Macaca mulatta: one gene and its partners. The main gene of each other region encodes a partner of the protein of the gene in region 2 in a complex. Links are inferred from orthologs where the notes say so. Each region holds a gene or a part of one and is shown on either strand. Other genes may lie near its edges. The genes, in order: FLNA, ITGB7 and ITGAE.

Region 1 (5,092 bases), on a different chromosome or scaffold from region 2:
GACACAACACCCCAGGCCCCTGATCCTTGTCCTCAGGCCTCCTCTGCACCTGCCACCACACCCGAAGCCCACCCAGACCCAGGTGTTCAGAGTCTGACAAGTCTTATGGGAACCGCTGAGCAGGCCCCTCTGGGTCTGGAATGCCACTCCCGTTTGTCCCCTGGCTGGCCATGCTGGGCTCAGGGGCCTTTCCGACAGGAGAGGACCCCGGCTTCAACTCCCCCCAGTGCCCCGGGTGAACTGGCATGAATGATTAGGCGGGCACACGTCTCTGCACACATCGCACGGCACCCTCTGCCCGCGCCCACTGGCGTGCCCGTTGGCACGCCCGGACCCCTTCAAAGGTTACTTGCTCCTGGAGTGTCGGCGGCCTCCTGGCCCAGTGCCCCATATCCTCCCGGGTGGAGGGAAGCAGAGAGGGAGGCGGTGGGAAGCAGCGGGCACAGGTGCGCAGGCGAGGGCCCTACAGACTGGGAAGGCAGGCCCGTGGCAGGGGGTCTGCGGGGACCGCGTAGGCGCAGGCCTTGCCCTGCAGCCGCTTCCCAGGTGATGCGCACACAAAGGGCCCTCGGCAGTGCCTGGTCCGGGGCCGCCGCTCTCCAGGGGTTCGCTCTTAGGGTTGGCCCCTTCCCGCCGCTGCCGGGGCGGCGGACCGGGATGCCGCCCGGGAACCCTAGGCCCTGGGGGCCCGGGGAAAGGGGATGACGGTGGGAGGGTAGGGTTGTGCAGGGACGGGGCAGAGCCCAAGTGACTTAGGGACGAGAACCACCCCACCCCTCGCAGGAGCCCTGGGGAAGGAAAGTCCCTTGTAAGGCGCGCCGGCTGCAGGCCAAGCAGTCCCGCGCCAGATACTGCTCAGCCTTTCCTCGCTCTGGGGCGCGTTTCCTGCAGCGCCAACGCGAGGCCGCGGGGCTGGGAGCATCCTTGCCCACTCCAGGGCCCAGCGACCCACCCCGGAGCCCGGGTTTCACGTCTGATCAGCCAAAGCCCGGGGCCTAGTGGGGGCATTCCAACGGGCGGGGCGGGGTGGGGCAGTCGCGCCCCCGAAGCCCCACCCCACGGCCCCTCCCCGCAGGAGGCCCGCCCCCTGGCCCCGCCCCCCGCCCGCATTTAAAGGGCTCGCTCTCTCCGCAGCGCAACCTCTGCTTCCTTCCTCGCCTCCCGCGCGCCGAGGTGCCTGCGACTTTAATTAAAGGGCCGTCCCCTCGCCGAGGCTGCAGCACCGCCCCCCCGGCTTCTCGCGCCTCAAAATGAGTAGCTCCCACTCTCGGGCGGGCCAGAGCGCAGCAGGCGCGGCTCCGGGTGGTGGCGCTGACACGCGGGACGCGGAGATGCCGGCCACCGAGAAGGACCTCGCGGAGGACGCGCCGTGGAAGAAGATCCAGCAGAACACTTTCACGCGCTGGTGCAACGAGCACCTGAAGTGCGTGAGCAAGCGCATCGCCAACCTGCAGACGGACCTGAGCGACGGGCTGCGGCTCATCGCGCTGCTGGAGGTGCTCAGCCAGAAGAAGATGCACCGCAAGCACAACCAGCGGCCCACTTTCCGCCAAATGCAGCTTGAGAATGTGTCGGTGGCGCTCGAGTTCCTGGACCGCGAGAGCATCAAACTGGTGTCCATCGGTGAGGGACGCCCCGAAGCGCCGGGCGGGCGGGCGGGGGCGGGAATTCCGTGCGTCCTTCCATCCCCCCGGGCGGACCCCTCCAAACCACCTCCTTCCGGGCTGCGGCGCAGCTCCCGAGGCCCCCGGCTGGTCTGCTCCACGCGGGCCTGGAGAACAAAGGCGCGCGGGCTGGCGGGCTGGCCGGCCGGGCGTGCGAACCGCTACGCGCCCCCGCCCGCCGCGCCCCGGCTGGCCGGCGCCCAGGCTGAACTCACATCCTCAGCAGGCCGCGCCCCCGCAGATGTGCTCGCGGTGGGAGTGGGCCTGGGGGGTCGGGCACTGGGCAGGCTCTGGCCCTGCGCCCCATCCTCGAGGAGGAGGAGGCCCAGGCTCTCCCCCCACAGCTGTTTAGAGAGGGCCCTCTGGCTTCAGACTCCCCTTGTTTCTAAAGTGTGGGTTGGAGCTCGTGCGTCCCATTGTCTAGGACTCTGGGCTCTTTCTGTCCCTGGAGGATGCGTCGCCCATCGGAGATGGCTCCAACCACCAGTTTAGATCTACCTCCCCCACACACACAGGGAACCTGGGGGCCAGAAAGAAGCGTAGTTAGCAAAACTGTACCCGGAGTTGGGCGTGGTTGACTGAGGGACCTGGCTTGTAGACTACTTGGACGCCAACTTTTCTGTTCATCTTGGGACAAATTCTTGCTTCCATGTTGGCCTTGCTTTTCTGCGTATAGCACGCAGGAGTTGGTTGGTAGATGCTCCGGCGTGCACTGTGCCAGCCCAGTGTCTGTGTCACTGGACTGGTGAGGCTGGCATTGACCAGGCCTGCTGCAGCATCCCAGTTCTTTCTCAAGATAGGGGCTGCTTGGAAGGGCAGGCACCAGAACGGGTGACTTGGGGGTGACGTTGAACAGGGAGAGGAGAGGGATGATGATTCTTCTCTTCTTCAGAACTGAGAGGCCTTCCAGTTATCCCTGCAGCTCTGGAATGGCCCTTGCTGAACCCAAGAAAGTGAGGGACCAAGACTTGGGTTCCCCCAGCCACTCAGAGGGCAGATCCCAAGAATTGAAGTTCTTTCTTTGGAATGCCAGTTGAGGCGAGGGGCAGGCCCACCCCCCCAAGTCCCAGCCTCAGTCTAGCCAAGCTGAGTCATTTCAGAGTCCTGGATGGTGTGGGGGGGGGGCGACCGGATGTGGGGAGGCGGGCCACACCCCAGTTCTTTGGGGGGGGTCTCCTCCCTCCTCCCAGCTCCCCTCCTCCTTGTGAGCTGGCTGGAGCAGGCCTAGTTCCCAGAGCTTTGCCATATAAGGCAAAAAAATGTTGGAAAGCAGCAGTGATTAGGGGAGGGAGGGGCTGGCTGGCCCGGGGGCTGGGGAAAGGGGGTGGGATGGGGCGGGGCCATCCAGCCAGGCAGTCTCCCAGCCCTGGGCCCTGGTCCTTCACACTCTCTTTTGGGAGGGGGATGGGGACGGAGTAGGTTGGCCTAACATGGACCTGGTGGGCCTGGTTGCCCCCGGTGTGGGGGTCGTTAAGGGGTCTCAGGCTGGATTGGGGTGGGGGCCTGATGGGAAGCCCTGGCTGGCCTTGTTCCCTGGCCTTGCACCCTCAGTCCTCTCTGAGCCCCTCTCCCCGCTGCCATTTAGGGAGAGTGAAAGGCAGCCTCGTGGGGCCAGGACCAATCTGGGAACTGGGGAGGCCACTCTACTTTGAGCGGCCCACCTGGCCCTCCAGGTGCTGCCTGCTGGGCTGGGAAGCAGCTGCCGTGGACGGCCCAGCCCCTCCTCATAGACCCACCCCCTAGTTGACTCACCAGAGAAGTATTTTGTCTGATTATGGGAGAGGCTGACAGAGCTTCTAAAGATGAGCTCTTAGAAAGCCCAAACCATCCTGCCTTGAGCCTGAGACCCAGAAGTAGCTTTGGGTGGGGCCCAGAGCCCAGCAGGGTTGCCATGGCAATGGGGGGGGTGTCGGGGACCCGCCCTAACCACTTCCCCTGTGGCGAGCCTGCCGAGGCCCAGGCCCGTTAGGTGGCAAGTGGGTCAGGCAGTGGGTGGCAAGGGGGTTCCCACAGTGTCTCCTGCTGCCAGCCCGGCATCTCCCGATGGGCCCCAGTGAGTCAGGGCCATGTGGCCCAACTGCTGGTTCCTTTGGGCTCTGGGCCTCTCCCCTGGCCGGGCCTGTGGCCTCCCAGCTCCAAGCTTGGGTCTTCGAGGTAGTAGAGGAAGTGGAGGTGGTGGTGGGGGTCACACTCCTTTACCCAAAGGGTGTTTGCCCAACTCCCCCACTTCCCCTGCCTCACCCCACCCACCCTGGAACAACAGTTGTATTTCCCAACCACCCAGGGCCACCCGTCTTCCTCTTCCTCAGCCCCAGCCCCACTCCAGGCCATGGGCCCTGGATTCTGGGCCAGCTGGAGCCAATCTCCTCCTCCTGGTTCCCCATAGGCCCCTGAGGCGGGTGGCAGACCCCTGCTCTGGCAGCTGTGGACACTGTCCAGCTGTTCTCCAGAGCTGACCATCTGTGGGCTGGGTCTGCCCTCTGCCCTTCCTCTGGGCCCAGGGCTTCTGGCAGTAATCATACCCTGCTATCATCGCATGTCTGTGGGTATCTCCCCTCACCCCAAAGTCTCCTTTACTTCTGAACACCCCCTGGGATGCTGGGCAGAGAGGGCCTCATCCACATCCTACCACTGGTCAAGACGGGGTGTCTCCCTCCTCCTTGGCCCCCCCATCCCGTGCTACCAGACCATGACCCCAAAGCCTGGGAGCGGCCCCTCCCGCACAGCTGTGTGCCCAGTGTAGCCACTCTTGTACTCACAGACAGCAAGGCCATCGTGGACGGGAACCTGAAGCTGATCCTGGGCCTCATCTGGACCCTGATCCTGCACTACTCCATCTCCATGCCCATGTGGGATGAGGAGGAGGATGAGGAGGCCAAGAAGCAGACCCCCAAGCAGAGGCTCCTGGGCTGGATCCAGAACAAGCTGCCACAGCTGCCCATCACCAACTTCAGCCGAGACTGGCAGAGCGGCCGGGCCCTGGGTGCCCTGGTCGACAGCTGTGCCCCGGGTGAGGGGGCACAGAGGCAGGAGAGACTGGGCTGGGGTCGCCCATGGGTGGCCCTTGAGGGGCTTCTGTAGCCCCCGGATTCACAGCCTTCCTTGTGCCATAGGCCTGTGTCCTGACTGGGACTCTTGGGATGCCAGCAAGCCTGTGAATAATGCACGAGAGGCCATGCAGCAGGCGGATGACTGGCTGGGCATCCCCCAGGTACACCTGCCCGGCCTGTCTGCGGCTGTAGGGGACCGGATCGGCAGTTGGGAGAGACTCGGAGGCCCGATGGCTCCTGTTTTCTGCCCGTGACAGGTGATCACCCCCGAGGAGATTGTGGACCCCAACGTGGATGAGCATTCTGTCATGACCTACCTGTCCCAGTTCCCCAAGGCCAAGCTGAAGCCAGGGGCACCCTTGCGGCCCAAACTGAACC
Region 2 (5,092 bases):
AAAATATCTTTTTTTTTTTTTTTTTTTGAGACAGAGTCTCGCTCTGTTGCCCAGGCTGGAGTGCAGTGGCCGGATCTCAGCTCACTGCAAGATCCGCCTCCCGGGTTCACGCCATTCTCCTGCCTCAGCCTCCCGAGTAGCTGGGACTACAGGCGCCCGCCAACTCGGCTAGTTTTTTATGTATTTTTAGTAGAGACGGGGTTTCACCGTGTTCGCCAGGATGGTCTCGATCTCCTGACCTTGTGATCCGCCCGTCTCGGCCTCCCAAAGTGCTGGGATTACAGGCTTGAGCCACCGCGCCCGGCCTGGAGTAAAGTATCTTGAGGAGAGTATCTTGAGGAGAAGGCATGTTTTTCTAATTCACAAGTAAGCTTCCACTAGCAGCAGCCTTCTTTGGGGGACTGGGGAGAGCAGGAGAAAGCAAGGTACTGTAGGCAAGGGGATGGACAAGCTGACTCAGAGTGAGGCTTGCCACATTCTTGGCTCACAGAGCTGGCTGGGGTGGCTCAAGGGCCATGCTCAGGTGCATAGCCTACCACCCCCACTGTGCCTCAGGAGCAGATTGGCTGGAGAAATGTGTCCCGGCTGCTGGTGTTCACTTCAGATGACACATTCCATACGGCTGGGGACGGGAAGTTGGGTGGCATTTTCATGCCCAGTGATGGGCACTGCCACTTGGACAGCAATGGCCTCTACAGTCGCAGCACAGAGTTTGTGAGTCCCTATAGTCACCCCGCCTCTCCCCATTTGAGCCATACCTCTTTCCTTCCAGGACTCCCACTCCCAGCCTTACAGTCCTCACCAGTAACCACCCTGTAGACAGCTGCCATCTTCCCCAGCAGTTCCTCCTTTCAGCTGTGGAGACAGGACACCTTTCCCTACCTCCTTCCTATTCCATAGCAAGCCTCCAGGGCTCCTCCAGCTGGTGGAACCTTGGTTCCTGGATTCCCCAGGCTGAGGGCACCTTGCATGTTGTGGGGGAGACCTGTGGGGCTCACCTTGTCCCTGCTCCCTGCCCTAGGACTACCCCTCTGTGGGTCAGGTAGCCCAGGCCCTCTCTGCAGCAAACATCCAGCCCATCTTTGCTGTCACCAGTGCTGCACTGCCTGTCTACCAGGTGAGAGCTGTCTACATGTCAGATCCCCAGCCCCACCCCAGCCTTTCTCAATTCCCCCAAAGATCCATTCTCTGTCCCCCATATGCCCTCCTTCCAGACCCCCAGGAGCCCATTTTCCTAGAGCTGTGACCTACCATTTCCCTTAACTCCCTATAACTCAGGAGCTGAGTAAGCTGATTCCTAAGTCTGCGGTTGGGGAGCTGAGTGAGGACTCCAGCAATGTGGTACAGCTCATCATGGATGCTTATAATGTGAGGGGCCAAACGAGGGGGAGATGGTGAGGGTGGGCACTAGGGAAAGGTGGAAAGGGGTCCTTGGGTGGGGTGGCAGAACTAAGGGGAAATGGTCACTTTTTGGTCTAACATTCCACAGCTCCTACCTATAGTCTGCATGTGGCTGTCATTAATTGTTCAATCTTACATTCATAAATCTTAAACATCTGACGTGCAGAGAGCATGGAGCTCAGATCCCCGCCCCACCTCCTCACCTGGCAGAGTGCAGCCTGCCAGGAAAGTTTCAGTCACTGAGCTTTTATTTCACACACCCACCATCCTAGGTGTACATACTGTTTCTACTTCATTTAACCCTGCCAAAAGCCTTGCTTCGTAACTGTTATCATCCCTCTTTTACAGAGGAGGAAACCCACACAAGGCTAAGTGACTTGTCCAAGGTCACAAAGATAACAAACAGAAGGGCTGGCATTTTTCCCCAGTCTGTACATAAACAATGTGAGATCTGGAGCCTGCTTTCACTATGTTTATAAATAATTCAGAGCTATTTTTCACAAGAACCATAGAATTTTACAGGTAGAAGGAACCATAAAAACTCTTAGTGGTTTAGGTCTTATCTCTGCAACTAGGCTGTAGGCTTCCTGATAACAGAGCATCTCCTAAACCTATGGCAAAAAAATCTGAGACGGTATCAAATTTCCCAAGACAAACTCTGTAATGAATTTGCCCTTTAGACCTGGCATGCACCCAGGTTATGTGTCCTGATGTGGGGCTTCACAAACATGGTCTCTGCACTGAAATGCTGTATTAGAGGCCTCTGGATCCTGTATATTCTATGCAAGGTTCTCATGGGTCCTCCCTCCAGAAATGCCTCGACTGGGCAGAATGTAAGGAGCCCCAGGTGGCAGAGGGCAGGGTGCTGGCAGAACTGGGAACACCTGGAGAGGACATAAGGTGGGGGTGGGGTCCTTTCCTGCCTTCACGTGGTTATCCACTTGCTCTCTTCCCATAGAGCCTGTCTTCCACTGTGACCCTTGAACACTCTTCACTCCCTCCTGGGGTCCACATTTCTTACGAATCCCAGTGTGAGGGTCCTGAGAAGACGGAGGGTAAGGCTGAGGATCGAGGACAGTGCAACCATGTCCAAATCAACCAGACGGTGAGAGCCAGCAAGCACAGGCAGAAGGCGGGCGGGCAGGGGGAGGTGGGAGTGGGAAATTAAGCAGGCAGGGAAAGATGGGGGGCAGGAATGGGGAGTGATGGGAGAGCCTGGGGTAATCCTCCATCCATCCTTCCTGAAGTAGTCTGAGTGGCTTCCTCAGGTAAAGTTTCTAGGAGTTGGGTGTTACCATGACCCCATCTCTTCATTTACTAAGGGGTGAGGTTCTGGATGATCTAAGGGGTGAGGTTCTGGGTGAGTTTGGTGTGTTTGTATAACCATGGCCTGATTCCTGCCTACCCTGTTCTTAGGTGACTTTCTGGGTTTCCCTCCAAGCCACCCACTGCCTCCCAGAGCCCCATCTCCTGAGGCTCCGGGCCCTTGGCTTCTCAGAGGAGCTGATTGTGGAGTTGCACACGCTGTGTGACTGTAACTGCAGTGACACCCAGGCCCAGGCTCCCCACTGCAGTGATGGCCAGGGACACCTACAATGTGGGGTATGCAGGTGAGGGCCTCCTCTTCCCTTCACCCAGCTGGCTGACAACAAACGACCAACCCTGGCCCGTATTCCTCCGCTGCTTTCCATTCCCCCCACAGGAGTATCCTTGACATCCCTAGACTCCCCACTCAATTTCATCCCTTGAAGCTTCCCAGATATGTTCAGGCCCTCCTCTTGACTGCGGCTCCCTCCACTCTCTCACCCCTCGTCGGTGTTCCACTATACTTATTCCTTCAGTTGTCTTTCTCCAACTCTTGAGAACTTGGGTTTAGAGGTTCCTGGGAGAGACAAGTCAGGGGTGATCAAACCCTCTGACCTACTTCCCTCCTTTGCCTTCCCCTCCCAGCTGTGCCCCCGGCCGCCTAGGCCGGCTCTGTGAGTGCTCTGAGGCTGAGCTGTCCTCCTTAGATCTGGAATCTGGGTGCCGGGCTCCCAATGGCACAGGGCCCCTATGCAGCGGAAAGGGTCAGTGCCAATGTGGACACTGCAGCTGCAATGGACAGAGCTCTGGACATCTGTGCGAGTGTGACGATGCCAGCTGTGAGCGACATGAGGGCATCCTCTGTGGAGGTACCTTGGGGAGAAGGGCAGGGTCTGAGAGGCCTTCCCAAGGCACTTAGGCTCTGGGAGTCTCCTGGCATGGAAGGCAAATGTCAAAGATTCTGGTGTATGGGTTAGAGAGTGTGTTTGGCATACTTGAAAAAGACTGGATGCATGCGCTTGTGGTGCCATGTGATGGCCAACTGTGTGTGTGGAGTATGGTTGTCACCCTCTGCATGGCTCTACCCCAGGCTTTGGTCGCTGCCAATGTGGAGTATGTCACTGTCATGCCAACCGCACGGGCAGAGCATGCGAATGCAGTGGGGACATGGACAGTTGCATCAGTCCCGAGGGAGGGCTCTGCAGTGGGCATGGACGCTGCAAATGCAACCGCTGCCAGTGCTCGGATGGCTACTACGGTGCTCTATGTGACCAATGCCCAGGCTGCAAGACACCATGTGAGAGACACCGGTGAGGCCTCAGGTCTTGCATCTTGGGAGCAGGGGCACAGTGGGGCTTGTTGAGCCACTCCCATCTGCCTACTCTCCTTCCTGCTTGTAGTTGGGTAAAGGGCATTGGGTGACAACTACCCAGCTGGTAACTTATTGGCATCTACTGCATAGGGACTGTGCAGAGTGTGGGGCCTTTGGGACTGGCCTCCTGGCCACCAATTGCAGTACAGCTTGTGCCCATACCAATGTGACCCTGGTCTTGGCCCCTATCTTGGATGATGGCTGGTGCAAAGAGAGGACCCTGGACAACCACTTGTTCTTCTTCTTGGTGGAGGATGACGCCAGAGGCAGGGTCGTGCTCAGAGTGAGACCCCAAGAAAGTAAGTGGTCAGGGATGCCACAAACCCTGGAAGTTTGATGGGTAGGGTCTCAACTCTGGGGATGCAGAGTGAAGATAATGGGAAACAGGATGGGGGCTGAGGCAGAACTGTGAATCCAGAACAAAGGCAGAGGCGACTGAGCAAGTGGACAAGGCTAAGGCCCTGGGCAGTGAGAATAACCCTGGACCTTGCTGGGTTCCCTTTGCTTTCAGTGACAGGGTTGGACAGGCTGGACACACCGTGAACAACTGTTGATCTGTCCCTATGCTCCAGCTCCCACAAGTGTGTCTGGTTTCTTGTTCACAGAGGGAGCAGACCACACCCAGGCCATTGTGCTGGGCTGCGTAGGGGGCATTGTGGCAGTGGGGCTGGGGCTGGTCCTGGCTTACCGGCTCTCGGTGGAAATCTATGACCGCCGGGAATACAGTCGCTTTGAGAAGGAGCAGCAACAACTCAACTGGAAGCAGGTGAAACTTCCTGGTTAGGCCCCCTTTTAGCTGTCTCCCCACCACAAGCCCATCCCTGATTCCTCCCACTGGGTTCCCCCAGCGCCTGGCACATGTAACCAATCCCTCTGCTAACTTCCATCAGCTCCTAGGATTCGGCTCAAGACTGGCCTCTTAGGTCTAGAAAGGGGACAAGGAATCCTGGGATTTTTGCTCATAATCTGCAACATCTTTCCTCAGGACAGTAATCCTCTCTACAAAAGTGCCAT
Region 3 (5,092 bases), on a different chromosome or scaffold from region 2:
GCGGCTGCTCTGCCTGGTGTACCTGATAGGCCCTGTCCCTATCCAGGAGGCGGTAATTCTCAGCCTCAGGGTCCCTAACCAGGGCCCGCCCCTCGGCCCATGTGACCGACCAGGTCTCGCCCTCATTTGGAAACCTCAAGTACAGCCCAATGCGCAGCCTCGGTGTCCCCATCTGGGCCCCACCCTCACCCAGGTGACCTCCAGGCCCCGTCCTTCCCAGGTAATCTCCAGGCCCCGCCCTCACCCAGGTAGCACCCAGGCCCCGCCCTCAGCCAGGTAGCCCCACAGGCCCCGCCCTCACCCAGGTAGCCCCCAGGACCCGCCCTCACCCAGGTAGCACCCAGGCCCCGCCCTCACCCAGGTAGTCCACAGGCCCCGCCCTCACCCAGGAAGCCCCCCAGGCCCCGCCCTCACCCAGGTAGCCCCCCAGGCCCCGCCCTCACCCAGGTAGCCCCCCAGGCCCCGCCCTCACCCAGGTAGCACCCAGGCCCCGCCCTCACCCAGGTAGCACCCAGGCCCCGCCCTCACCCAGGTAGCCCCCCAGGCCCCGCCCTCACCCAGGTAGCCCCCCCAGGCCCCGCCCTCACCCAGGTAGCCCCCCAGGCCCCGCCCTCACCCAGGTAGCCCCCCAGGCCCCGCCCTCACCCAGGTAGCCCCCCAGGCCCCACCCTCACCCAGGTAGCACCCAGGCCCCGCCCTCACCCAGGTAGCCCCCCAGGCCCCACCCTCACCCAGGTAGCCCCCCAGGCCCCGCCCTCACCCAGGTAGCACCCAGGCCCCGCCCTCACCCAGGTAGCACCCAGGCCCCGCCCTCACCCAGGTAGCCCCCAGGCCCCGCCCTCACCCAGGTAGCTGTACTGCGCAGCCTCCCCGTCCACCGCCGCCGCCGTCTGGTTCAGGAAGCGACCCCGGCGGCTGCGTGTGTTGTAGAGCAGCGCGCCTCCGGACCAGTCAAAGGCCCCGACGGCGCCGAGCAGCACCTGCCGCTGAAGGGGACGGGGATGGGGCCCAGATGAGTGGGAGGGACCCAGGGCCGGGCCACGGTGGCAGCGGGTCTCTGGGCCAGCGCGGCTAACCTGGCTGGGAGAAGGGGGGCGTTCGGTGGCCTAGTGCCCGTCTGGCCAGAGATGCAGGTGCGAAGGTGAGATGGCCAACCCTGGGCTCCTGCCTCGTGCCCTTGCACTCCCGCCTCTGGGAGAAGCAAGCAGCTTGGTTGGTAGGCTGACCCAGGCCGAATCCTGTTGACTGGGGAGCAACTGGATGTTTGAGCACACAGAAAAAATCCACCTCCTGTCATCAATATGGCCACACTTCTGTCTATCTCAGTGGTCCAGATTAAGGTGAGCAGGCAGAAATATTTCCCTTTATCCTAAAATGGCTCTTTCAGGCCGGGCGCGGTGGCTCAGACCTGTAATCTCAGCACTTTGGGAGGCCGAGGCAGGTGGATCGCCTGAGGTCAGGAGTTCGAGACCAGCCTGGCCAACATGGTGAAATCCCGTCTCTACCAAAAATACAAAAATTAGCTGGCCGTGGTGGCAGGTGCCTGTAATCCCAGCTACATGGGAGGCTGAGGCAGGAGAATCACTTGAACCTGGGAGGCAGAGGTTGCAGTGAGCTGAGATTACACCGCTGCACTCCAGCCTGGGCGACAGAGCAAGACTCCGTCTCAAAATAAATAAATAAGTAAAATAAAATGGCTCTTTTAGAGGAATCATCACAGGGAGAGCAGAGCTCTGGATGGGAGGCAGGAGTCCCTGAATCCTAGGTGTTCTGGGCCCCTTCCCAACAGGCGAGCCTGCCTGGGGCTGAGTCAGCCACATACCTCATCCAGGATCTGAGCACTGAAGCCGATCTGTGCCAGCTGGTAGTGAAGGGCGTCTCCAACCGTGCCTGCAAGCCAAGAAGCCCAGTGAGACTGCTGTGGGCGGAGGTGAAGGGAGAAACGGAGGCAGGGGACAGTCCAGCTTGGCCTCAGGGAACCATGCTTGGTGTAACAGGAAGAGCACCCGGTTGAAGGTAGAGACCCAGGTTCTCCTTGAGCAACTACTGTCTGGGCAGTTCGCTCTCTCTTTCTAGGCCTCAGTTTCCTCGTCTGGGAGCTCCTGGGAGAAGGGACTACGCTCCAGTCATCCTTGTTTCTCCAGCACCAGCTCAGTTCATCAGAACTTCATGGAGATTCTGGGACGCAAGAGGTTGGAGATATTGTTGCCTTTTTTTTTTTTTTTTTTTTTTTTTGAGACAGTGTCTTGCTCTGTTGCTCAGGCTGGAGTGCAGTGGCTCAATATCAGCTCACTGCAACCTGTGCCTCCCAAGGTCAAGTGACCTGTTGCCTTAGCTTCCCAAGTAGCTGGGAATACAGGTCACGCACCACCACGCCTGGCTAATTTTTTTTTTTTTTTTTTTTTTTTTTTTTTTTGAGATGGAGGCTTGCTCTGTCACCCATCCTGGAGTGCAGTGAGGCGATCTTGGCTCACTGCAAACTCCGCCTCCTAAGTTCAAGTGATTCTTCTGCCTCAGGCTCCTGAGTAGCTGGGATCACAGATGTGCACCACCATGGCCGGCTACATTGTTTTGTATTTTTAGCAGAAACAGGATTTCACCATGTTGGCCAGGCTGGTCTTGAACTCCAGACCTCAGGTGATCCACCGGCCTTGGCCTCCCAGAGTGTTGGGATTACGGGCGTGAGCCACCACACCCGGCCCCAGCTAATTTTTGTTTTAGTAGAGACAAGGTTTTACCATGTTGCCCAGGCGGGTCTCGAACTCCTGGCCTCAAGCGATCCACCCGCCTCTGTCTCCCAAAGTGTTGGGATTCCAGGCGTGAGCCACCACACCCGGCCATTGCCTTTTTAGACATGGAACAGCTGAGGCTTAGAGAGATGATGGGAGTTACTCAGAGAAACCACATGAAGATGGGACAGAGGCGGGGCTGGAGCACAGGCTGGGGTCTCCCGTGGTGGTGTGGGTCCTGGAGCCCTCACCTTCCATGCTGATGATGTTGTACCGCAGTTTGCTGAGCAGCCCATCCAGCGCCATGTAGTTAGTCACCTTGAAAGCGTGGGTCTCATCCGGGTCTGAGGCGATCAGGTTGAGTTCCCTCTCAGTCCTAGCACTCTTAAATTCTTCTCCCACCTGCACAGGGGGCCTGGGTCAGTGAGTCAGCACCGCGAGGATTCCCCAGGCCCAAGGAGAGAGCTGAGCCCCTCCCCCTGACCTCTGGGGCCCTCCATTACCTGCCTCCTTTCTTCCTTTCTCCTCCTTTCCCTGCTCCCTGTTCTACACACACTCTGGGCAAAATTCCAGTTTTACCAAAGTACACTTGTTCTCCTGAACACACCGAGCCCCTCCTCACCTCTGCACATGCTGTTTCCTCTGCCTGCAGGGCCCCTCTCTGCCTCCCCTGTGCCCTAAGCAGCTACTCCCGTTCCCTCTGCCTGCGGGGCCCTCTCTGCCTCCCCTGCGCCCTAAGCAGCTACTCCCGTTCCCTCTGCCTGCAGGGCCCCTCTCTGCCTCCCCTGCGCCCTAGGCCAGCTACCCCCGTTCCCTCTGCCTGCGGGGCCCTCTCTGCCTCTCCTGCGCCCTAGGCCAGCTACCCCCGTTCCCTCTGCCTGCGGGGCCCTCTCTGCCTCCCCTGCGCCCTAAGCAGCTACTCCCGTTCCCTCTGCCTGCGGGGCCCTCTCTGCCTCCCCTGCGCCCTAGGCCAGCTACTCCCGTTCCCTCTGCCTGCGGGGCCCTCTCTGCCTCCCCTGTGCCCTAAGCAGCTACTCTCGTTCCCTCTGCCTGCGGGGCCCTCTCTGCCTCCCCTGTGCCCTAAGCAGCTACTCTCATTTGTCTGGCAGGACTCAGCTCGGCACCACGGTCCTCCAGGAACCTTCCTTGGTGCGTTTCCTGTGGGCTCTCCCGTCACTATTTGGCCAGGAAGCTGTGACCACCATGGGGAAATGGGCCCTCTCTGGGATGACAGGGCATGGGGAGAAGGGGAGTGTTTGCGAACAGAACAGGGTCTGGATAAGCTGCTTACAGAGAAGCCCCCATCTACAACCCTGACTCCTCCCCACCCCAGGCTGAGCAGGGTCAGGAGGGGCCTCCCGGCTCCTGGCTCTTACCCCAATGGCAAAGCGCTCAACACCATGCATTTTAGGGGAGTTGATGACTGTCGTAAGGTCGAGGGGGTCCTCGAATATGCCACCATCAGTGAGCACCACCATGACCTTGGATGCCTTTCTTCTGGAGCCGTGGCTTGAGGTGAAGATGTTGTCTCTGAGCAGGGGAGAGTAAAGGAAGAAGAGAGCTTTGCCAGAGGCATGACCGCCTCCAGGAGAGACTTCATTCTCTGACCTGTATTAGAATGGGGAGGGTTCACAATCCTCCCAAAAGACCCAAAGAAGGGGGTGATGCCCCCTTAAGTCACACAGCGAGGCTAGGCAGAGGGAGGGCTGTAACACAGGTGTTCTTCCTTCTCACCTGCTCCCAGCAGAAAGGTGCTGGCTGGCAGTCTCTTCCTTTTGTGTGCATACAGGAAGAGTAATGACATTAAAATGATAGATAATGCTCACATGGCATTTATCATGTGTCAGGCACTGCTGTAAACACTATATATATATATAATTTTTTTTTTTTCTTTTTGAGACGGATTCTCACTTTTTCGCCCAGGCTGGAGTGCAGTGGTGCCATCTCGGCTCACTGCAAGCTCCGCCTCCCGGGTTCACGCCATTCTCCTGCCTCAGCCTCCGAGTAGCTGGGACTACAGGCGCCCGCCACCACACCCAGCTAATTTTTTTGTATTTTTAGTAGAGACGGGGTTTCACTGTGTTAGCCAGGATGGTCTTGATCTCCTGACCTCGTGATCCACCCGCCTCGGCCTCCCAAAGTGCTGGGATTACAGGCGTGAGCCACGACGCCCGGCCAACACTGTATATTTTAACCCATCCAACCGCCACAAAATCTACCAGGTAAGTGCTATTATTTTTCTTTCTTTTTTAGAGACAGCATCTCACTCTGTCACCCAGACTGGAGTACAGTGGTGTGATCATGACTCACTGCATCCTTAGACTCCTGGGCTCAAGCAGTCCTCCTGCCTCAGCTTCCTGAGT

What was found.
Region 1: the proteins of ITGB7 (region 2) and FLNA are in contact, whole or in part, in a crystal structure (PDB 2BRQ), measured with the Homo sapiens proteins. The link is inferred for Macaca mulatta from reciprocal best matches to the Homo sapiens genes ITGB7 and FLNA. Residues at the interface, in NP_000880.1 of Homo sapiens: Pro776, Leu777, Tyr778, Lys779, Ser780, Ala781, Ile782, Thr783, Thr784, Thr785, Ile786, Asn787, Pro788; in NP_001104026.1 of Homo sapiens: Thr2263, Gly2267, Ala2268, Gly2269, Gly2270, Leu2271, Ala2272, Ile2273, Ala2274, Val2275, Glu2276, Gly2277, Pro2278, Ser2279, Lys2280, Ala2281, Ile2283, Phe2285, Phe2311.
Region 3: the proteins of ITGB7 (region 2) and ITGAE are in contact, whole or in part, in a cryo-EM structure (PDB 8ZJF), measured with the Homo sapiens proteins. The link is inferred for Macaca mulatta from reciprocal best matches to the Homo sapiens genes ITGB7 and ITGAE. Residues at the interface, in NP_000880.1 of Homo sapiens: Val201, Leu202, Pro203, Ser206, Thr207, Val208, Pro209, Ser210, Lys211, Arg213, His214, Cys216, Pro217, Arg219, Leu220, Glu221, Arg222, Leu255, Asp256, Ser257, Pro258, Thr291, Phe292, His293, Thr294, Ala295, Gly296, Asp297, Lys299, Leu300; in NP_002199.3 of Homo sapiens: Phe36, Leu38, Arg91, His92, Arg93, Gly94, Leu111, Arg113, Leu118, Ser119, Ser120, Leu122, Glu196, Glu198, Arg230, Tyr233, Glu234, Phe237, Glu238, Cys239, Asn240, Ser259, Gln260, Val262, Met263, Leu266, Arg300, Leu401, Gln403, Phe406.

Annotation. Positions count from the first base shown.
Region 1 is NC_133426.1:160,543,562-160,548,653, forward strand, and holds part of FLNA (filamin-A), read left to right. Parts: intron 1-1,134; 5' UTR 1,135-1,250; coding exon 1,251-1,623; intron 1,624-4,425; coding exon 4,426-4,674; intron 4,675-4,777; coding exon 4,778-4,875; intron 4,876-4,971; coding exon 4,972-5,092. UniProt on the Homo sapiens protein: Promotes orthogonal branching of actin filaments and links actin filaments to membrane glycoproteins. Anchors various transmembrane proteins to the actin cytoskeleton and serves as a scaffold for a wide range of cytoplasmic signaling proteins.
Region 2 is NC_133416.1:60,331,338-60,336,429, reverse strand, and holds part of ITGB7 (integrin beta-7), read left to right. Parts: intron 1-555; coding exon 556-714; intron 715-1,021; coding exon 1,022-1,117; intron 1,118-1,278; coding exon 1,279-1,368; intron 1,369-2,359; coding exon 2,360-2,506; intron 2,507-2,817; coding exon 2,818-3,011; intron 3,012-3,351; coding exon 3,352-3,575; intron 3,576-3,796; coding exon 3,797-4,016; intron 4,017-4,168; coding exon 4,169-4,377; intron 4,378-4,683; coding exon 4,684-4,844; intron 4,845-4,968; coding exon of another isoform or gene 4,969-5,001; exon of another isoform or gene 5,002-5,063; coding exon 5,064-5,092. UniProt on the Homo sapiens protein: Integrin ITGA4/ITGB7 (alpha-4/beta-7) (Peyer patches-specific homing receptor LPAM-1) is an adhesion molecule that mediates lymphocyte migration and homing to gut-associated lymphoid tissue (GALT).
Region 3 is NC_133421.1:5,243,575-5,248,666, forward strand, and holds part of ITGAE (integrin alpha-E), read right to left. Parts: intron 4,260-5,092; coding exon 4,106-4,259; intron 3,132-4,105; coding exon 2,981-3,131; intron 1,891-2,980; coding exon 1,823-1,890; intron 987-1,822; coding exon 817-986; intron 1-816. UniProt on the Homo sapiens protein: Integrin alpha-E/beta-7 is a receptor for E-cadherin. It mediates adhesion of intra-epithelial T-lymphocytes to epithelial cell monolayers.